Styela clava: one gene and its partners. The main gene of each other region encodes a partner of the protein of the gene in region 3 in a complex. Links are inferred from orthologs where the notes say so. Each region holds a gene or a part of one and is shown on either strand. Other genes may lie near its edges.

Region 1 (7,308 bases), on a different chromosome or scaffold from region 3:
TCCTGAGCATCTAATTGATTATGGAAAGTCAGACTCTCCTGTTAAAATAAACACAGTTTATAGACAAGTTCCTTCTTATGTGTGTGATAGAAACAATTCCATTGTCATCTGTTCGACACAAATATTTTGTTTTGAATAATTGATATTTTAATACTCCTTTGCTTTCGCATATGCTTTTATAGGAATAATGAATAAATGAACAATTTTCATTTAATTGAATTTCAAGATAATTCTCTCACAATAAAATGATGAAACTACCTAAAATGATCCTTGCAATCACTGTTTTGCAATTGTACTGTGTAACATTGTTTATTGCAAATGAGTTTCCAACCGGCTGTTTATCACGAATAGGTTCTACTGACTTACGCACCTGTTGTAAATGGGCTTTGATTTTTTCATAAACTTTACTGATGTGATCTGCTTCCTGACTTTTTAATCTTGCTTTATCCAAACGATTTTCCAGTTGTCTTAAATGCTATTGTAATGTAAACATAAAAACAATTCTCAAATATGTTGACACAAGGGTCATATACCAGTGTTTCCATACTTCGTAAAAAGCGTTTCCATAAATTAAAAAATAAAAAATAAATTTGGGTAAATATGGGGGCCAATATGACTCATGGAAAATTAAAACAATATATAAGTAATTATCATCTAGCATCTATTTTCATCTTTAAATACTGAAGATTTGAAATTGATTTGAGATTGATCCCCTTGTTGCGGTGAAAGACAATTTTCCCAATAATAACAATTTAGCAAAATGATGCATGTACACCTCATGTCGTACAGTGAGCATGACTAAGTTTTGCTAAAACTTGAATTCAGACGAATCATAACAAGAATAAAATTGAATATTCATAGATGGATTGATCGATGATTTAACAATTCAAATTCTATACCAGATTATTACTGAAAAGTCAAATTGTATTTTGACATAAAAATGTTCTCATTATCTGTAGGAAATATCGACCAGTATCAAATTTCACAATATCTCTGTATTGGGCATTGTTTGCAGGATTGGAAATGATGTGTGAAGGCTGTGTGAAATAATAAAGATGCTATCATTGATTATTTTCCTTAAGTTAAATAAAACAAATTTCTAATCACAAAAGAAAATTGAACTATTTTACGCATGAAAAAAAATCATATTTACCTGAGCTGATTCACTCTCTCCTTTATCTAACTCTTCAGCAGCTGATTTGTCCTTCACCATCTGATCATGTTGGGTTTGAAGTTCATTCAATTTTCTTTTTCTTGCTTCACTCGTCGATTTCAAAGCATTCAATCTCTTCTTACTGTCACAAACCTGGGCATAATTTTACAAGGTTAGGAGCAATAATACAAATAAAATTACACATGAATTGATAAATTTTAGATTACAATATTACAATACAATATTTTACTAGATTCAAATTAATTTTCTGGTAATACTTTTAATTTTAGGTCAATTCCAACTCATAGCAGGTTTAACTTATTGTAGAATGACTTGGATACAAAGTAGTCACATGCTAGAAAGGCACTTCACAAATCTCACCAAAGAACACCTTTATATTGAAGTTGTATAAAAGTATATTGTCAAAATTGAAAAATAAATAAAATAACCTTTTGATCTATAATCATGATAGCAGTTTTTCCAGACTTGTTACGCAATGCTGCTCGTTCCACATGTCTACCTTCAAATGCTTCATCTATAACTTTATCATCTCCCTGAACAAATCAAAAAGCATGTTCAACAAATTTAAAAAACACGAATGTAATTGAAAAAACATGAGCCAAATTGCACAGATTGTGAAGTTTGAAAACTTTGGAGGTTGTTTTCTAAAAATGTAAACAATGCTAGCTAGAGGATACAGAGAATTCACAAAATATTCTTAATTCTCACACAGAATAGGCTACTTACCGCAAGCAGATCTGCTAATGTCTTGTGCAATGTTTTATTCTCTTGTCTCATTCTCGCGATAATCTCTCTGTTCTTCTTGATTGACCATTGTGAACTTTCATAATAAGCTTTACGATCACCCTCTATAAAAATATAAATTATGAGTTGACTGATCAGTGAGAAAATTTGATCTTTTGACAAACTAAAGTTTAAAATGAGGTTAAAATCAAACCCAGTAGTGAAATCACACTAAATTCAATAGAGCACAGTTCTCTGATTCCAAGATGTCTTAATATTTGGTTCAATAAAACAAACACACAATTTATCTCTGAAACAAGGGCGACAAGGGCCATGCTTGTTTCAATAATTTAAATTTATCATGGCGTTTTTAGCTAAAAACTCTCGAAAGCTATGGTAAAATTTTTTTCAATAAAACGAAAATATGAGGCATTTTTGGATTGCGCTGTCTTTTAGTTTGTTGTGCAGTGCCGGTTTTTCGTCAGTATGGAGGCCCAGACTGTCTCAAGAAGAAATGGGTTGCATTCACTGTTATAATTGATGTCTTTTAATATGGGGACTATCCTTGGAATCGGAGAACTGTGTCCTACTGATATTTGGATTAAAAGAGATAATAAAAAACAATAATACTAAAATATTCTGATGACAAATATATAAATGCAGTGATGATCACTGAGACTTGTAATGAGTTCATTCAACATTCTGACAATTGATCTAACTTACCAGAATTTAAGTGAAAATAAAGTATATCATTGAGTGAAAATAACATATAGGCTACAAATAATTATAATAATGTGTCAGTGTGTAGGGTTTGATACCGCAAAACACCATGATACAGACATACACCATTCTGGACTGCGGTAATTAAAAATTACTAACTTACCCAAAAGCGAAATTTTTTTGGTGATTTCCGATATTTGTTCTTGAATTGGAGGTTTATGCATTCCTGACTGACCTCTCATATTGCTGTTGAGGCGCTGTATTATATCGGTACAGCGATGAAATAAAAGTATAACTTTGAAGTCACAAATATACCTCCAAACAACTAACCGCGCAGATCACGTAAACCAGAATCGTGCCGGTTTAGAGAATGAACACGAAACGTTGCCGGTAGCAACAACTTTGCTCAAACATCAGTGAGAAGTGCTTACCGGAGTCAATATGAAAAGAAGGTGTTAAAGGTGGGTTATCACAGAAATTATTTTTGATGAATTTCATTTTATATATTTTTTTAAAATTTTGACGCTTACTATTTACATAGAGTCGACTTAGTTTTCTACTTATTAATTTCAAAAAATACATTTAACGAAAATCGTCCGCAGTTCAGAAAGGACCTTTGATGACGGGGAACTGAGAATTCCTTCCAGGACTTCATCGCGCATTCGCGAGTAGGATGTTTAACCTCTGTTATTGGCATTTCATTATGGTTTCTCGTTGCGTAGTTTCATAAAGATTGGAACAATAATGCCGCAGGTCGTGCCCTTAGTAAGGACTATTGCTGCAAGCTCTGCGGTAATTTCGAAATCATTATTAACTCCCCGTAAGAAGATCGCCAACTGAGCAGTAACCTTGATGCCAGCATTGATGACTACATGATGCCAGTGCTTTCGTCAAGCGCCAAGGAATACGATGAAAATTTTCCCGCCTTTGCAATTGAAGTCTCCGCTGTTAGACTTCTCAAGTTCTTTGACATGACGAGTTATGGTCTGTCTTGACAGGCTATTTTTGCAAACACCTCTTTTATTTCCGGACGTAAAACATTGGCAACCCGAACAATATATAATATACATTCATTAGCGAATTCTCAATCTGAGAATGGCTTCTATTGTTTTGCGATAACATCATATAGAGTAGTTAAAGACCAAGTGTGTAAGCGGCTATGGCACCTTTATTTATCGATATTTCCTCCAAGTTGGTTTCGATTCGAAATGACCCTAATGTCTCGTTTGCAAGGGCTGGCAGAGCGCATTTCAGGAAAATATACAAATCGTTTGTATCACATCTTTGTATACTACATCACTCAAAAAATAGATTTACTCCAATTTTTTTATCCAATTCTGAAAAATACGGCGCGGGCCACTCAAAATGCTTCCGCTGGCCACGGGTTAGGCGACCCTTCTTTAAAGAAATCTGTAAGGTCCTTGCTAATGATACGAATCATAAGTTATAGAAAACGAATAGACAGACCGTCCGTTCAAAAGCCTTTCTTTAATCCTTTTTGTTAACGATGGAAATAATTTCATATTCTAGTATAGGCTCCAGATAGATTAAATTTTTCTGAGGTTTGCCCAAATACTTCATAAAATTTATAGAATTATTTGCTAGCTTCGATGCAAGATTAGGTCCAAAATTTACAAAGTAAGTGTTAAATTCTTGGCATATGGACTGGGGGTTGTATATGATTCTATGAGTTGTCTCAATTTCGTGTGGAAAATTTCGTTTACGTTTCTTATTGGTGATTGTGTTAATGAGACTCCAAGTCTTCTTTTTGTCGCCCTCTATAGTTCTTTAAATTCTGCTTTGTAAAATTTCGTTTAAGCCTTTTTCTTGATGTGTGAGAGAATGTTGAAGTATCTTTTGTGATACCTTATTTTTGATTTGTCTGTCGACAAAAAATGACATTTATACAAAACGTTTATGAGTCGAGATTAATTTCTTGATATCTATTGGGAAACATGGTTTCGAGACAAATCTCAGTTCTTTGGGTGTTTTTTCCTCAGTGCGGCATGTTTGTCAACAACCGATTTTAGAGTTTCCAGAAGCGTACCGAATGATTTTTCAATATCAAGCTTGAATAAACAGTCAATATTTAATTTAGCTGTTGAGTTTTCAATGTCTTCCAAAAATGATTCAAGGTGGAAGTATTTCAATGATCGCACAAATTTTGTCTCTGAATTCTTTTTTAATGGTTTATTGCGAAGTATACACACTGAAAAGATGGTCAGAAATACCATACCACAAGGCATAATCCAACAACTGTAAATCGTTTTCGTTGCTGTATATATATGTGATCAATTGAGGTGCAAGAGATATCAGTGATTCTGGTATAGGCGCAGTTGTGAACACTTGTAATGAATTAGACAGTAACATGTTTGAGTATTCAAAAACGAAGGAATCAGAAGTTTTGCACAAATTTATTTTAAAGTCGCCAAGAAAGAAAGCTGTTTTCTTGTTTATCATAATTTTGTGCAGCGACTCGTTTAGCAATGTGTGGAATTTTTTGCGAGCTTGTTTGGCATGTCTATATATTTCCGGTACAATCACTTGTTTGCTATTGTTTAGATTGACACTTATCCACAGATCCTTCCAGCCAACAAGATTAAGCTTATATTCATCTGTTTTGAAATATTCAACATAGTCTTTTATGTAAAAACACACTCCCCCGGCCGTTGTTGGAGAATCCTCGTGTATAAAAGAGTAACCTGAGAAGAACTGAATATATACCTGAATAAGATATATATACAGATATACAAAATAAGACTGGGTACAGAATTACAGACAACACCCACATAAAGTATTAAATCTAGATGATTTAAGACAACAAAAAATAGCCTAGAATGTTATTTCACTTTTAAGTATGTTACAGCAGTAGGTCGGGCACAGAGATCGAGTTTTTTTTCAACCTCAATTTGTTAAGTTTACTGTCATTCTAATAATGCAACGACATTCTTTGAAGGTATTGGTATGTTTTTAAACCACTGCGGCGTTTGCCAAGTGCAACTCCCAATAGAACTAGCATACGGTTCGAAATAAGAACACAGAACGCTATGAATGCCTTTAACCTAATGAACAATTATGCCGACGAGGTTTCTGCAGGGTTGATTTTTATAAATGCGTGTCTCGCAAACAAAGTCCACCATACGTAAGCAGTAAACGCCAATATTCTTAAAAAAATATGTATAATTAAATTCGTCATAAAACTTTATCCGTAACAACCCACTTTTCTAAATAGAAATAACGACAGCAACTAGTGACTGTGGTGCATAGTAAAATGCGTCAAAAAGGTTAATAATATAAACGCAAAGTTTACATACCTACTTCACACTCTTCTCGAGAAAATGGGCCCGAAAATGGATCACTTCACATAAGAAAATTTTTGCTTTGCTGTGATTATTCAACAGTAGAAAGTATATTTGCGAGTAGTTTCAATTTACTACCATATTCAATAAATAAATAATTACCTATACTGTTCCAGGAATCTATTACCGATTAGTATTCCCCCTTACATAAAAAGCATAGATGTGAATGTTTTAGAGGAGCGATGCACATCAGCATACAGCAGCATTAGCTGAATTAAAACAATTATCATCATGTGCTATCGATTGGGTGTCTCAGGGACTAACTATTATGTTTCTTTAATTTTTTGTGTCGGTGGATCCGTGTTCATATAGTGCAAGGATGCTGTAGTAAGAGTGAAGATGACTATCCTGAAGAGTCTTGATCGACTTGGGATAATTATCATTCATCATGCTACATATTTTTTTATATTTCCAAATATGGGATACACTTGAATGTAACCAGTGGTGGGATTAAGCCGGTTCGCATCGGTTCTATAGCACCGTCTCACGGAATTTTATGTGATCAGCGAACCGGTTAGAACTACTGGTTACTGTCAATGGATCAATATAAAATAAATATATACACTATACAGCAATATTTTTATTTTTATAGACAATCCTAAACATCATCAAAAATTTTGACAAAATGATGTTTACCCAACCATTTTTTTGAATTGTTAATTAGGGAGTAGTTAAAAAAAATCAGTTTATTTGCCAAAAAAATATGACTTTTTGTAACAGAACCGGCTAAAAAATATGACTTTTGTGATGGAACTGGCTGACAAAAAGTGTGAATCATACCACTAAATGTAACTCCTGTTCTCTTTCGCTTGGATCTGCAGGCTTGTCCATGGGACATATTTTTCTGTCCCATCCCATAGATATGTAAGCCCGTTCCATCCCATTGGAAATATTTTTCAATAAAAAGTTCTAAAATTAGGTTTAGCGTTTACTAAATAGGACTACATGTACAAAGAGACATGCAAAACGACGAAATTCATTGACTTTGTTAAATTGAAAAATTTAGAACTAACTAACAAGAGAGCTATGCTCAAACATATGGACACAAAGTCCATAACGAAATGTTTTGCCATCAATTCCCACAAAATCATACGACATCATGAACGAACCTAAACAGCAACAGTAACTTACCAGTACCTGAACGCTGCGCTTTGTAGCCAATGTCTGCGGACTGACACGTTGGGAAACACTGTTTTAAACAATCACCAACGGTGGGAGCGAGAGTATTCCTGGACCTATTCATAGTGAAACATGAACGATTGATACTAGCTTACGCTAAAGTTTTTTAAACCGAAGCTTTTGCATGTGATGTTTCATTATCCAGTAAGGTTG
Region 2 (5,817 bases), on a different chromosome or scaffold from region 3:
CGGCCTTTTTGTAGAATCGGCGTATCGGTATCGGCGTTTTTAGCTGGTATCGGATCGGTATCGGTGACAAAAGTGGTATCGGTACATCTCTACTTGCAAATCGAGTCAAATTGACGTTTTTTCTGCAAAATTTACTATTGATACAGTAAAGTAGTACCGGTGGTTGAATATTCAATATATTTTGACATTTAAGTTATATATATATATATTAATCTGGATAATCATTATTCGCGCCAACCTCTTTTTGCAGCTTCTGTCTTTGTAAATCCAGTTCATCTTTCTGTGTTAATCGTTTGATACGGCATGATGCTGCATAACCACGATTCTTCAATGTTCGCCTTCTCTGTTTTAATCTCCTACTTTCCTATGAAAAAATATTTTGATATATATTTTCAATTTGCATCATAAGAAATCCATTTAGCATATCACTGACACTGCCCTACTTCAGGTAACACATTCCTAAACATTAAGGTGGACCAAGTTTCCACATCAGAAGCAAACCTTCAAAATTTCCAATATGAAATGTAGATGACTGATAAATAAACAGTTGGGTCCACAAATTTTTTAAAATCTATGTTCTAAAAAAAATGATCATTGAAGTCTATCAAGATCAGCAATATTCGGAGTGATAGGCTATGTTCCAATACGCAGCATATACGGTTACAAGAGTAAGCCTTGTGGTAAGCTGTTTATTATATACAGTGCTTTATAATGAATATTGAACGTATAGAACAGTGGTTCTCAAACTTTTTTTGCTCACGGCACACCCAGCAAATAAGAAAAATCTCGCGGCACACTTGTGAAAAATTTGAGCTAGACTTGGACAAATTATTCTACAAATGTTAATGCGATGTGTGTGCCTGTTTTGAGAAACGACTCAAACGAGGGTCCGTCGCTCCCTTTTTTGCTTTTGATTACAGCCAGAGCAGAAAATACAGATTAATAGAGCCATGTAGATGCAAATGGATAGATTATTTTGATGGATTTTGCACCGATGATTGAATAGAATTTGTTAGCAGATAGCCAAAACTCAACCAAACTGGCTTTCCTGTTAGCCTAACTCAGGGGTCTGCAAACTTCGTACTCGCTTGACAGATCGTCATTTGAACGGGAAATGTGTATATTCGGCCCGCAGGTACACAAATTTTGCCGACCACTGGCCTAACTCAACGCTCAATTGAACATAGTGGAAGGTGGATATCATTTTTACAAAAAACATTATCACATCACAACGCAAGTATACTGGAACAATACCCCTTACTACAAGACAAGGCAAATGCAATAATATTATCAGTCTAATTAATTATGGATTATCAAATCTCATAAGTTGCGTGCATGTCTATGTGTAATACAAACAGCTTATTTTCTAGAATTCCAAAAAGCTCCGCGGCACACTTGAGAATCTCTCATGGCACACTAGTGTGCCGCACACAGTTTGAGAAACACTGGTATAGAAACTACTAAATTTCTATTCTTTATATATTTTCCTAACATAACAGGTCTACTTGCTGTATTTTTGTCCATACGTTTCTCTTTTTAAAATCTGTTTTGCTATAATGAAGTATGATTTTATACTACCTCTGGTGTCAGGTTTCGTAAACTTCTGTTAAGATCTCTCACACTCATGTTAAGCAATTCATCATCTGTAAATTGATGTCCTTGTCCAATATTCTCCATCTTGACCTTAAGTTATAGTCAAGTGAGATATACATCAGTACAAACAAAATTAACAGTGACAGTTGAATTAAAGGGTTTCTTTGTCACATATAAATACAAATGTGCCATTCTGAACTGGGAACATAATAGGTTATTAAATGTGCAACTCGTTATTTAAGTTATTTATAGTTTTATTTCAATCTTTCGTCTACAACACAGAATACAAATAAAAAAATAAATAAAGAACACAGACAATGAAGACGGAAAGATCGTGAAAATGGGCAAAACCTAGAGTAATATTTGTAGCCTATTGTTTGTTTGTTTGTGCTTATTCACCCAGACTCAAACAATTGGAAAAAACACATCACAACAATCGTACTTCGTACTTAAAAAGAATGAATTCATAAATAGCATACCATGTTTTTTTAGGACAAGGTCTTATACCAATTTTTTTTCAAATAATAACACTAGGGATTATTTTGGGGGATGGATTTTATTTTCATTTATCAAAAAAACAAAATTACAAAGTACAGAAGTAGACAATTACAAGATTTTTGAATAAATAAAATATGAAAACCGATATCTATTGAACTAAGCTCAGTTTTGTAGTTCGACTGCTGACTAACCGTATTGCAGTACTGAATAAGGTACCGTACAAGAATAGAACACTTTGAGACTAAAAGAGTCTGAAATCTTAGTACTGTAGTACCAGTAGTCTAAAAACACAGAAATATAGCCTAGGTTACTTAGATAGACAGCAAACTTACCTCTGAATTTTTCACAGGCACGTTCTCAGAATCTTCCATCACCTCACACAATGTTTTTTCTCTGACAAAGCTCAAGAATACTGAAACAAGCAGTGTACCCAGATAACAGTTTTAGCACACAGCGAAGGAACTAGAACAGCACAACGTCAAGCGAAAACGAAACTGTGAGTAAATTGCTCTGCAGTGCCACCACGAGTGAGAACATGAACATCAGAATATGGCTTGAAATAAAATGGTAAATTTGCAGAGATTTTATTTCCCCAAATATGGTATGGTATGCACACGGTATGTTAGTCGTTGTTTGCATGACAAAATAATCAGCACATGGGCAATACGTGAATAATAATAACAAAGACTTCAGAAAGAAAACCAAATCAGGAATGAATATAGAATAGATGTAGCATATAATGAAATAGGGACGTCAATTTCGAACGTGACCGAACAAGTCATGAAAACTCCTACATAAATTTGAAATTTTGCTTATACAAAAGTTACTAATGACTACCGACGATATAACAATCATTGTTATATTAAATGTGAAAAAATGGGATGGATTTCAATAAAAAAAATTAATGGTCATTGCATTTAGTTTTGGTAAAATTAGTTTCGATGAAAACCCCCTAACAAGGAATTTCTGCTTATGGCCATGTGATGTACTTATACATAAAGATACTTATATTGAATAACCGAAAAAGTATTTTTTCATAGTTTTGAAATAAATATTTCAACCCTAGTGCCCCAAGATATCGCACACTAACGCTTGGCTTGTACTGTTTTTGTTGGTTGATCATATTTACGGTTGATCTACATCTCAAGTTTTTTCTCAATATCTCACGAGTGCCACCTAGTGATTACATGGTTTCCTTGGATACGAGCATCGCCGCGTTCTTGCTTTCCAGCATTGCTGTGTAGTAAGTAGTCTAAGTTTATCGACTACGTTATACGTCTGTACATATTTTGTTCCGAAAATGCCAATGGAATGGCTGTTACTATTTGTTGGTTTAACATTTCGTGATCACCTACTATATTAAAGAATGATAAAACTGTGTTAGAGGCTGTCAGCAATAGAGATGTTCTTGACATTATCTTCATAACAGTTAACGTTAACCTATAATCTGCTCGCACGCGGAACTGCCCAATGCTTTGTATGTTGTTGAACATATAGCAATTCAGAATCTGCTTTATAATTACCATCTGAATAGTACAGTCAATAACTGGCACTGCCTTCACAGTTGTCCACCCCTGTTTTGTAGTTAACTATGAAACGTGCATTTTGGCAGCTGTTCTCCTGACAAGAAAGCTCCATTAAAAACTGGATTGTGAAAGTCGCCTTTTTGGTCTTTATGTTTTTCCAGTCAACGTATATCATGACTGGGCAAATTATTTATTACAAAATCTATTGGTACCACATAAGGAGTTGTGATTTTGACTTTCAGTGCATTGGGAGTTTTTTAAAAATAATAATATAGTCTAGGCCTACAAGTATATGTTGACTTATTTATTGATATTTGTTTACCATAGTATCAGCCTCAACTATCCTACAATTCCACATGTACTGTTAAAAACAACTCACAAGGTGACTAAAAATCACAACTCAAACCAACCATTGTGGCCGGAAAAATCAGCGGTGCGAAATATCTGTATACCTCCATACCATCTCCCAACAACATATGTTCAAGTGTTCTGTGACTCTAGACCTAAGTAGGTATGAATGATCAAAATTATTGTTCATAATCATCATAGATCTACCAAAAATCAACCACCGCTTCAATATTACAGCAATTTCGTTGACTTCCATTCTAAAGCTTTCATGCTCCTGATAGTTTTTGTAAAAAAAAAATGGAAGATAGGAAAAGGTCAAAAATCTTACTTTGAAACGAAACTATGTCCTGTTCTTTTACAGAGTCATTAGTATGAAAATGAAGTAGAAATTTAAAGTTAAGATATTGTGTATTTGACATAATGTATATCATGAATGGACTTAATAGGAAAAATCTACAAAAAGATGCAGATGATATCTGCAAAGGTGCACCAACACTTCACTTCAATAGAAGAGAAGTCCAAGCCTTGCTTGTGTTGTTCAAAGGTTTCAACAACAAAGGCGAAAAACTTGATCGAAACCAATTTCGAGATTTTTTGCAAGTTTGGTTCAGTATGACAGAAGATCTACTTATGGATCGTGTTTTTCGAGCATTTGACACAGACAGTGACTCTTACATCAACACAAAAGAATGGGTTGAAGGTTTATCTGTTTTCATGAGAGGAACACTTGATGAAAAAATTGATTATACTTTCAAAGTGTATGATCTTAATGGCGATAGTTACATATCGCGTGAGGAAATGTTCCAAATGCTGAAAAATTCTTTAGTAAAGCAACCGACCGAAGAAGATCCAGATGAAGGCGTAAAAGACTTGGTTGAAACAGCATTGAAGAAAATGGATTTTGATCATGACAGTCGTCTTTCATTCGCAGATTTCAAACAAGCAGTTGTAGCAGAAGAACTCCTATTGGAAGCTTTCGGACCCTGTCTACCAGACGAGAAAAGCTTAGAAGTATATGAAGCTAAACTAGCAGATGTTGCAATGGATTTTACAGATTTCTCCTCCAAAAACTAAGTACATTTTAAGCAGATTTAAATTTTTACCAAAGTATGACTAACCATTGAAAAAATTTTCTGAACTTAAATAACTGCACAAGATTCCGCATAAAAGTATTTGGCAATATATGACGAGGTACTAGTACAATTCAGGCCTGATGAGCACATTACTAGCTTAATATGTTATAGCAGTCACTAATAAAACCTTTCCATTCTATACATTATTAGCAAGGCCAAGTTGGTTTTTCCTAACCAATTGCCTGCATATACCATTTACTCCGAATAAAAGAAGTCTATTGTTTTAAATATATGTGTTTATTTATTGCGATAGTATATGTAAATAAAATTATAGGTGATATTTAACTTGAACATTTATATAACTGTAAAATTGGCAGCTGTAGAAGCAGCCAGTATTTTCATTTGTTCTCTCCATCACATTTTCTTTGGCAACGCGGTAAATGAACTATCAACTCATATCGAAAAGCAAGACAAACCTTGGAACTAATATCATGTGGGAGTGGAAGTTATCTGAAAAAAAAATATTGATCTTAACATTTTGTAAATGTGTAGCGCAAAGTATTTCAATGAATTTTCTTAATAAACTTGTTGCACAAATTATAAAAAATCAATGATCTGTGAATTTTCAATTCTGAAAGAGCAGTGTAAATATTTCTAACAATCTGTTGCTTTCAGTATAGTGATGCTTGACACGTCGATATTACAGAGGGTCGGAAGTCACTATGCCAAACTAGTCAAAATCATTGTTTGGGGGGCAGTTAACTCAAAAAGAATTATCT
Region 3 (6,983 bases):
TATCTTTTTTATCCCAATTTTAAGCTAACAATATTATCATTTCTGACGTCGGAATGCGGATATTTATAAAGACGATAGTTGACCTTTATTTAATTTTACTTTCCTATTGTGTCTGTTTTATTTTCATATTAATTGGTGAATAAAAAACCTGCAAAGTCATTGCGTGAATCCGGAATGTTATTTTGAGTTTAAATAATAATTAAATAAATGGGCAATAATGGGAATTCTCAAATAATAATTCCCTGGTCCAATTTGGGAAAAATTTCCCACAATAATTTATTCCCTTGGTTGACATTTTCAATTTTACGATACAGTGTTGGCGGCTGGCGCGCATTATTCAAAACTTAGAATTGAAACAATACCCAAATACCTGGAATATGACTCCTCAAATTTGTCGTTTTTGTTTGTTAGCAAAAGCCATGAGCCTTGTGGAATTCAAGGGATTAGAAATTGGAATCACTTGAAATAAATTCAAAAATGAAATCTCTTTGCGGCACACCAAAATCTTTTCGCGGCACACTAATGTGCCGCGACACCCTGGTTCATAACCACTGGTCTAGTAAATTATTTGTATTCAAATAGTTTGCTATTCTAGGATAATTCTGTAAGTGCAAATAGAGTATTTAAATTGTTCAATCTTGTTCAATTGTTATAGAATGAGTGATATACTAAAAAATACCAAGTGCAATCATTCAGTATCAAAAAACTTATGCATGAAATCATTATTTTCAGTTTCAGAATAATATAAACATTTCTGAATTACGGTATGTAACAAATAAGTAATGACTTGTGCAGTTAATTGTCATCTTTGTCACAGAAATCGACCTAGAGTGCAGAGCACTTTGAGCGTCTCCGGACGTTGGAGAATATTATTATCAACAAGATAGTAACCTAAATCTAGAACCAGTTCTGTCAGTCAATTGCAATGAAATCCTGTATCCTAAACCTAAAGTATTATAATTTGTGTTAAAATATTCATGATTTCTTGCATGTCGAAATAAAGTTATTGTCCATTGACCAAATTGGAAAAACATTTTTTCATCTGAACAAGGCAGATCAAACCAAGAGAAAAGTGCATATTTGTTGAATACCCATGTAGAGTTTCTGCCATTGAAAATGTAAAGAAATGATAAAGACAGTGCAAATAACCTGTAAGCTCCCCTGGGTTTCGCTTTTCCCTTTCCTTCATCCATCTTATTGAAAAATGATAAATCACCTTTGTTTTCAAGTTTAACAGAGGATGGACCTGAATTTTTAGACAAATTAGGAGAAGTTATAAAAACAGAAAGGGTGAAGTTGCATTGAATATACTGTCTTGAACCTATTCAGGGAACTCATATGTCCTGGATCCGATGATGAATTTGGGATGACCAAAGAACTGACCAGAACTCAAATCGAAGCTTGAGCTACATCTTTACAGCACTAATAACTAGACGAAACATTTAGAATTGGGAAATTTAGATAATTGGCATGGAGGTTACTTGATTATTTCGTAAATACAAATTCAAATAAAGCTGAATATATTTTATAACACTTACTTCCTACACAATTATCAATTGCTTCCTGCGCTTTTTGAATTCCGAGTCTGAATTCTTGAAGTTCTGGACGTAATTTATGTCCTCTATGGTAAAATACAAGAGCGTATTCGAAATCTCCCATTTGGTATAGAGCTTCAGCTTTCTGATATAAGCCCTGAATGAGATAATATGAAAATCATTTAAAATAATAGAAAAATCATTTACAAGAAATCGTTCATAGACAAGGGTATCAACAATTAGGTAGGCGTTCCTCCAATTGATCATATATTTGGTAATCTACATTTTTTCTAGTGTATTATAAGGTTTGAACTCGGATTATCACGTTTGCGATGTGAGGTACCAATAATAACCATAAAATCACAGAATCTTAATAAATATTGGCCGTTCCATTTTTATATAAAGCAGCTAACTTTATGAAATTCTTTCTCTTCTGAAAGTGAAGCTTCAGCATCTTTCAATGCTTCTTGTGCATTACCAATCTGGAGATAACACTTTGATCTTGCAACAAGACAATTCTTGTCTGTCGGCTGAATACTCAGGGCCTGAAAAATAAAACTCAAACTGTAAGCAATTGGTATACTTTAGCATTAGACATAGGTAATAAAGGTTCCATAAGGTTGAAAAATCATCTAGGCATATTTTTTTTTTATATTCATTTATGGCAGACACTTGAAACATCTATATAGAATGATAGATAAAAAAAAAGCACAACGAACAATTATAGTGATAAACAATGAGCAGAAAATAATGCATAAAATTAATATGAGCAAATAGTATAAGCACTCTTAGACTACTACTACTACAAAACTCTTTTATAACAAGACCGCTACACCATCCTTACTTTACATCATAGATTCATGGTGTCTTAAAAATATATTTTTATAATAATTTGAAGAAAATATTACATAATAATATATATTACATATTTTGGCAAGATATTGCAATTATGGTATACAACACTGGCCATTGATTGTAATCGGCCACAAATGAGTCGAATCCCTCCCCTCTTTTATTCACTTCACTTCGTACTGGCCAATGCCGTCCCATACATTCGCTAAAAATAAGTCACCGCGAAGCAACCTTCTAATTTATCTTGAGAAATGGCGGACATGGGGCTTGAAACCAACATAACAAAATTGTGACTACAACATAGCTCGAACCAATTACCTAACCATTAAATTATTATCTAGATTGGGAAATTCAGAATTGTTTGATATATATTGAAAATTCTATTAGTTTAAAGTGAGTTATTGTGTTTTAACATTGAAAAAAAAAATTTCAACTATTTAGGTGGAGATATACTTCTCATATGCAATAATGTGACAATCTATAGGTGAAAACAGATTATGTCATGAAATGTCGTAGCAAATTTACAAGTTAATAAGAATTCTTACTTTGCAGAAATCTTCCAACGCAATGTGAAAATTTTGTTGCAATCTATTTTTTTCAGCTCTTTTAAAATACATATCAGCATATTTTTCATCATATTTTGTTTTTTTGTCTGGTTTTTTGATCTCTACACCATATTTATTAACTACTTTATTTTTTTCCTTTGCACTCTTTTCCATTATGAACTAATCTTTGCTGATAGTTATCCTGAATTTAATAACATAAATTTTGGAATACTGAATCAAAATTTTTAATCAATAACCTCAAAATCAGATTCCCCGATGAACGCTAAATCTGTGAGCACTGTTATAAACAGTAAAACCTTTATGATAACTTTTTACAGCTGGAGCAAGCTTATAGCAAAGTACCTCTGCATAACAGATTCTCTGATTATGGGCATTCTATTCGCCCTGTTATGTCTGGATAAAGTCATTTTTCAACTTCCAAATATGAAAACCCGTTTTAATGATAAACGAAATCTTCAGAAGTCATTAGTATACCGCTCATACTCCAAGCATAACTGCGTTTGGTATAGTTTTGTATTGAAAAATAAATTGTATGGAATAAATATTTAAAATGCTTAAATTAGAAGTTTATGACAGAATGTATAACACAATACTCTGCCTTCAATATGAGCAAAAAAATAAAATATGCTTGTTAAATGGTTAAATTCATGACTGACGGAAACTGGTAACCATATGAATTTGTGGACCATTATATGATTATGCCATTCTTTCCACACACTCTATATATAAATCATATCCTGCCTCCACAACTAATCTTACATTGAACTGCATTACACCATGTATAATACAAGTGATGCCTTATTATAAAATATTACACTGAGAGGTAATGACTCTATACATTCTTATACACCCAGTGCATGAACTTTTTATAATCGTTATTTTATTTTCTGGGCAGAAAAAGAATTGTTGCTATGTATCTAGTAACGCACCATAAACTTCATTTTCAGTCTCTCATTAGGAAAAAGAGAAAGGAAGAGCTTGTTTTACGAGAGTGTAGACAAAAATGACAATATTTTAGTTCTAAGCAAATAGTGTAATTGTCTGCTTTTCATGTTTTATATATTTACTTTGGTGGGTAGGTGGTATTTTAATTGATAAAATACTTAACCAAACATGAGTGTTAGAAACTTATCTTTGAATGAAAAAACTAATATGCTTGACCAAAATAACATACCGGTGAATAATTTTATTTTATCTTCAATAAAAAGTGACATCTAGGCATAATTGACTTCATTGTTGGATTACTTTCTAGGGCAAACAAGCCTCTATAGAAAAATTAATTTGTGAACAATTTAACAAGATGTCAGAGCATTATTCTTTAAACTGTTGATTCATGGTATTGGGATATATAAATAGCAGGAAGACTTACTTCCTAAGAACGAGCAGATGAGTCAGTCGAAAAGCAAGAAGCTCAGGTAAATTTGGCCCATTACAATATTGAACTAAAACACCGGTATTCCAGAGGAATTGTTTTAAAAGCATAGGCTGGCTTAAGTTATCAGATAGTTTTTAGTGAAAAAAAAAACAAATTCGGATATCAGTACTTTATGTTGGAAGCTGGCACTGCAATTATTTTCAAAAAATGGTATTTTTGAAGTCAATTGCAGTCTATGAATAATGCTTTACTAATGAAAAGGACAACTGAATACTCTTTGGAAACTATTGGATATAATTAAAAACAAATTCAGGATAAGTCTATGTTTTGAATGAAACCAGGCAGAAGAAAATCCTGTTGCAAATAACAAATTGTGATTCTGGCTGTGAATATACCATTGCTTCAACATTAATGACTAATATCAAGGTATGATAGAAAGAGCTTCAAAGTGAAAGGCAAGATTAATTCAGTTATACAGGGAAATCGTCGATTCTGCAATCCATGTTAGATAATTGGAAGAACGAGATTTTATTACCTCAGCACAGTTCTTCGATTCCAAGAATAACTCCTATATTAAAAGACATTAACTAAAACGATGAATGCAAACCCCTCCTTTACAAGACAAGCTGGCGCCTCCATATCCCCACCAAACGCAAACCAATACCACACAATAAACTAAAAGAAAGAAAATCTAATAAAGCTATAATTCTGTAATTGGATTACTAGGAAAAAATAATTTGTTTCACCAAAAAAAAATTATCATAGCATTCACAAGTTTTTAGCAAAAAAGGATGAATGCTGACATGTGACAGCCGACGCATGTGTGACAGACTTTTCGAAAAAGTCTACAGAGTTTTTTTTTTAAGAATTCTATTAGATGAAGAAAAAAATCCATATTAATCACTAATCTCTCAATATGCAACACATCTATGAAATATCGAGCAAATGGCAACAGTCATTAGGGCCAGCGGTCGATTAGACAGTGATTCTTTCCGGGTAATAATTACAGATGTTCTAATTAAACAAAGTTCATAAAAATTGGTAAGTTTCAACTTAAGAACTTTGTGTTGTGCGTAAACATTCAGGAGGATTTACATATTTACATATTTCTCCCGGGGGAGAGGAAAGCCGATAAGACGGCTTATCCATATGGCGAACCACGGCCTCTCGTCCGGTTACCATTCCAAGTCGGGTATGGGATTAGTTTTACTGTATTGTTTGTTTTCGGAAGCATGAACTTGGTGGTGGAGGAAGCCGTAACCGACCAGCGGTTACGTGAACCACCCAACGACGGCGAGGAGTCCAGCAATCCTCTCGCACATAACCATCCCTGCATGGGATTCGAACCTGCGAACCCAAGCAGAGTAGTTAGAGGTGCGGTGGCGAGCGTATTCCTAACGCTTAGCCCGTTGAGCCACACCGCCGCGCCTGATATCCTGATACCGTGATATCAGAATATACGGTACTTAAATACTGACGAAAATTAGGGTATATAAATAAAAATTATTGAATAATTTGTTGCCATATATTGTTATAAATTAAATATAAATTGAGACAACAAGAAAATAAAGTAAATCTGTAAATGGAAGTTTATACCGTTGTATAACTCTCCAATGCTTTCTGAAATTCTCCCGCGTTATAAAGTTTGTCTCCTTCCGCTACGTAAGTAGGAAAAGAACTTTTAGGTTCATCTTCTCCTTCTTCGTCATACATTCTCTTATACAAATACCTTATATGTGTTAAACAGTAAAAGTAACGAATAACTTTACAACCTAGAAAATCAGAACGTCATAAAACAATGGGAGCAGGATAAGAATGCGGCGGCGTGTTGTCATAACAACTGCAAAGAGTAGTCTCCTAGAAGCCTGCACATTTATTTTTGTTATACCGGATGTTTCTCCTAGGGTTGATTTCCGTAACAATGATAAAAAAGTCGACGTAACAATTGTAAATTTTTGCAGACGCTCAGATCTTTCGTTTGCTCAGACAAATATTCAAGCATGGTCGTGAACATTGCCTCGTTTTTTGCGGTTTTGCCTGTTATTTGTCAGTTTCAGTTGTGTTTCCAAAAATTAGTTGTAAATGGGGTATTTTGCTTTTAGTTCTGTCTTCCGATGAGTTTTAGTTTAGTAGCAATAATCTAAAACTAGTTTCGGAGAAGCAGCGATAGACTAAATTAACTATCAGTACGCGCGGGCGGCACGTGATTGTATATTTTAATGAAAATAATGATTTTGAGCATGTAGCCTAAATCAGTTTTTCAAGTGTCAAATCTCTAAAACACTTGCAAAATAAGCATCCCAAATTTTATAGTACTGTACATGGAGAATTTTTCTGGGGTCAAGGGTCATGCCAGCAGCAGCAACATAAAAAAATATTGCAGGTGCAGATATAATTTCCATGTGAATCCAAATCATTTTTGTCCAATGCGAAAAAAAGAGGACTTGCACGGGTCACGTGACTTTGTTACTGGACGGCAATAAAACAAAAACGTCCATTTGGCTCCTGTCAGTTGCAAGTCGGATTATACGTTTCCGTTTTGTTTGGCTGTTGAAAATGGTTATTTCGTATTGTTCCGTTGGCTGTACGTATAATATATAGACAACGAAATGGATCTTAAGTTATATTCCACTGATTTCAAAAGATCCGGAACGT

Evidence for each region.
Region 1: outer dynein arm-docking complex subunit 4-like (region 3) and outer dynein arm-docking complex subunit 3-like share a complex: the UniProt entries of both Homo sapiens proteins name them as parts of the outer dynein arm-docking complex. The link is inferred for Styela clava from reciprocal best matches to the Homo sapiens genes ODAD4 and ODAD3.
Region 2: outer dynein arm-docking complex subunit 4-like (region 3) and calaxin-like share a complex: the UniProt entries of both Homo sapiens proteins name them as parts of the outer dynein arm-docking complex. The link is inferred for Styela clava from reciprocal best matches to the Homo sapiens genes ODAD4 and CLXN.

What each region holds. Positions count from the first base shown.
Region 1 is NC_135254.1:24,001,108-24,008,415, reverse strand, and holds the start of outer dynein arm-docking complex subunit 3-like, read right to left. Parts: upstream 3,009-7,308; 5' UTR 2,860-3,008; coding exon 2,781-2,859; intron 2,023-2,780; coding exon 1,901-2,022; intron 1,708-1,900; coding exon 1,603-1,707; intron 1,307-1,602; coding exon 1,154-1,306; intron 476-1,153; coding exon 371-475; intron 39-370; coding exon 1-38. UniProt on the Homo sapiens protein: Component of the outer dynein arm-docking complex (ODA-DC) that mediates outer dynein arms (ODA) binding onto the doublet microtubule. Involved in mediating assembly of both ODAs and their axonemal docking complex onto ciliary microtubules.
Region 2 is NC_135260.1:14,792,911-14,798,727, forward strand, and holds calaxin-like, read left to right. Parts: upstream 1-4,306; 5' UTR 4,307-4,385; coding exon 4,386-5,039; 3' UTR 5,040-5,293; downstream 5,294-5,817. Other genes in the region: transcription factor MafK-like, read right to left, coding at 239-364, 1,579-1,683, 2,424-2,462; NFU1 iron-sulfur cluster scaffold homolog, mitochondrial-like, read right to left, coding at 5,528-5,548. UniProt on the Homo sapiens protein: Component of the outer dynein arm-docking complex (ODA-DC) that mediates outer dynein arms (ODA) binding onto the doublet microtubule. Seems to regulate the assembly of both ODAs and their axonemal docking complex onto ciliary microtubules.
Region 3 is NC_135250.1:16,655,605-16,662,587, reverse strand, and holds the start of outer dynein arm-docking complex subunit 4-like, read right to left. Parts: upstream 3,122-6,983; 5' UTR 3,107-3,121; coding exon 2,933-3,106; intron 2,081-2,932; coding exon 1,949-2,080; intron 1,693-1,948; coding exon 1,539-1,692; intron 1,247-1,538; coding exon 1,150-1,246; intron 1-1,149. UniProt on the Homo sapiens protein: Component of the outer dynein arm-docking complex (ODA-DC) that mediates outer dynein arms (ODA) binding onto the doublet microtubule. Plays an essential role for the assembly of ODA-DC and for the docking of ODA in ciliary axoneme.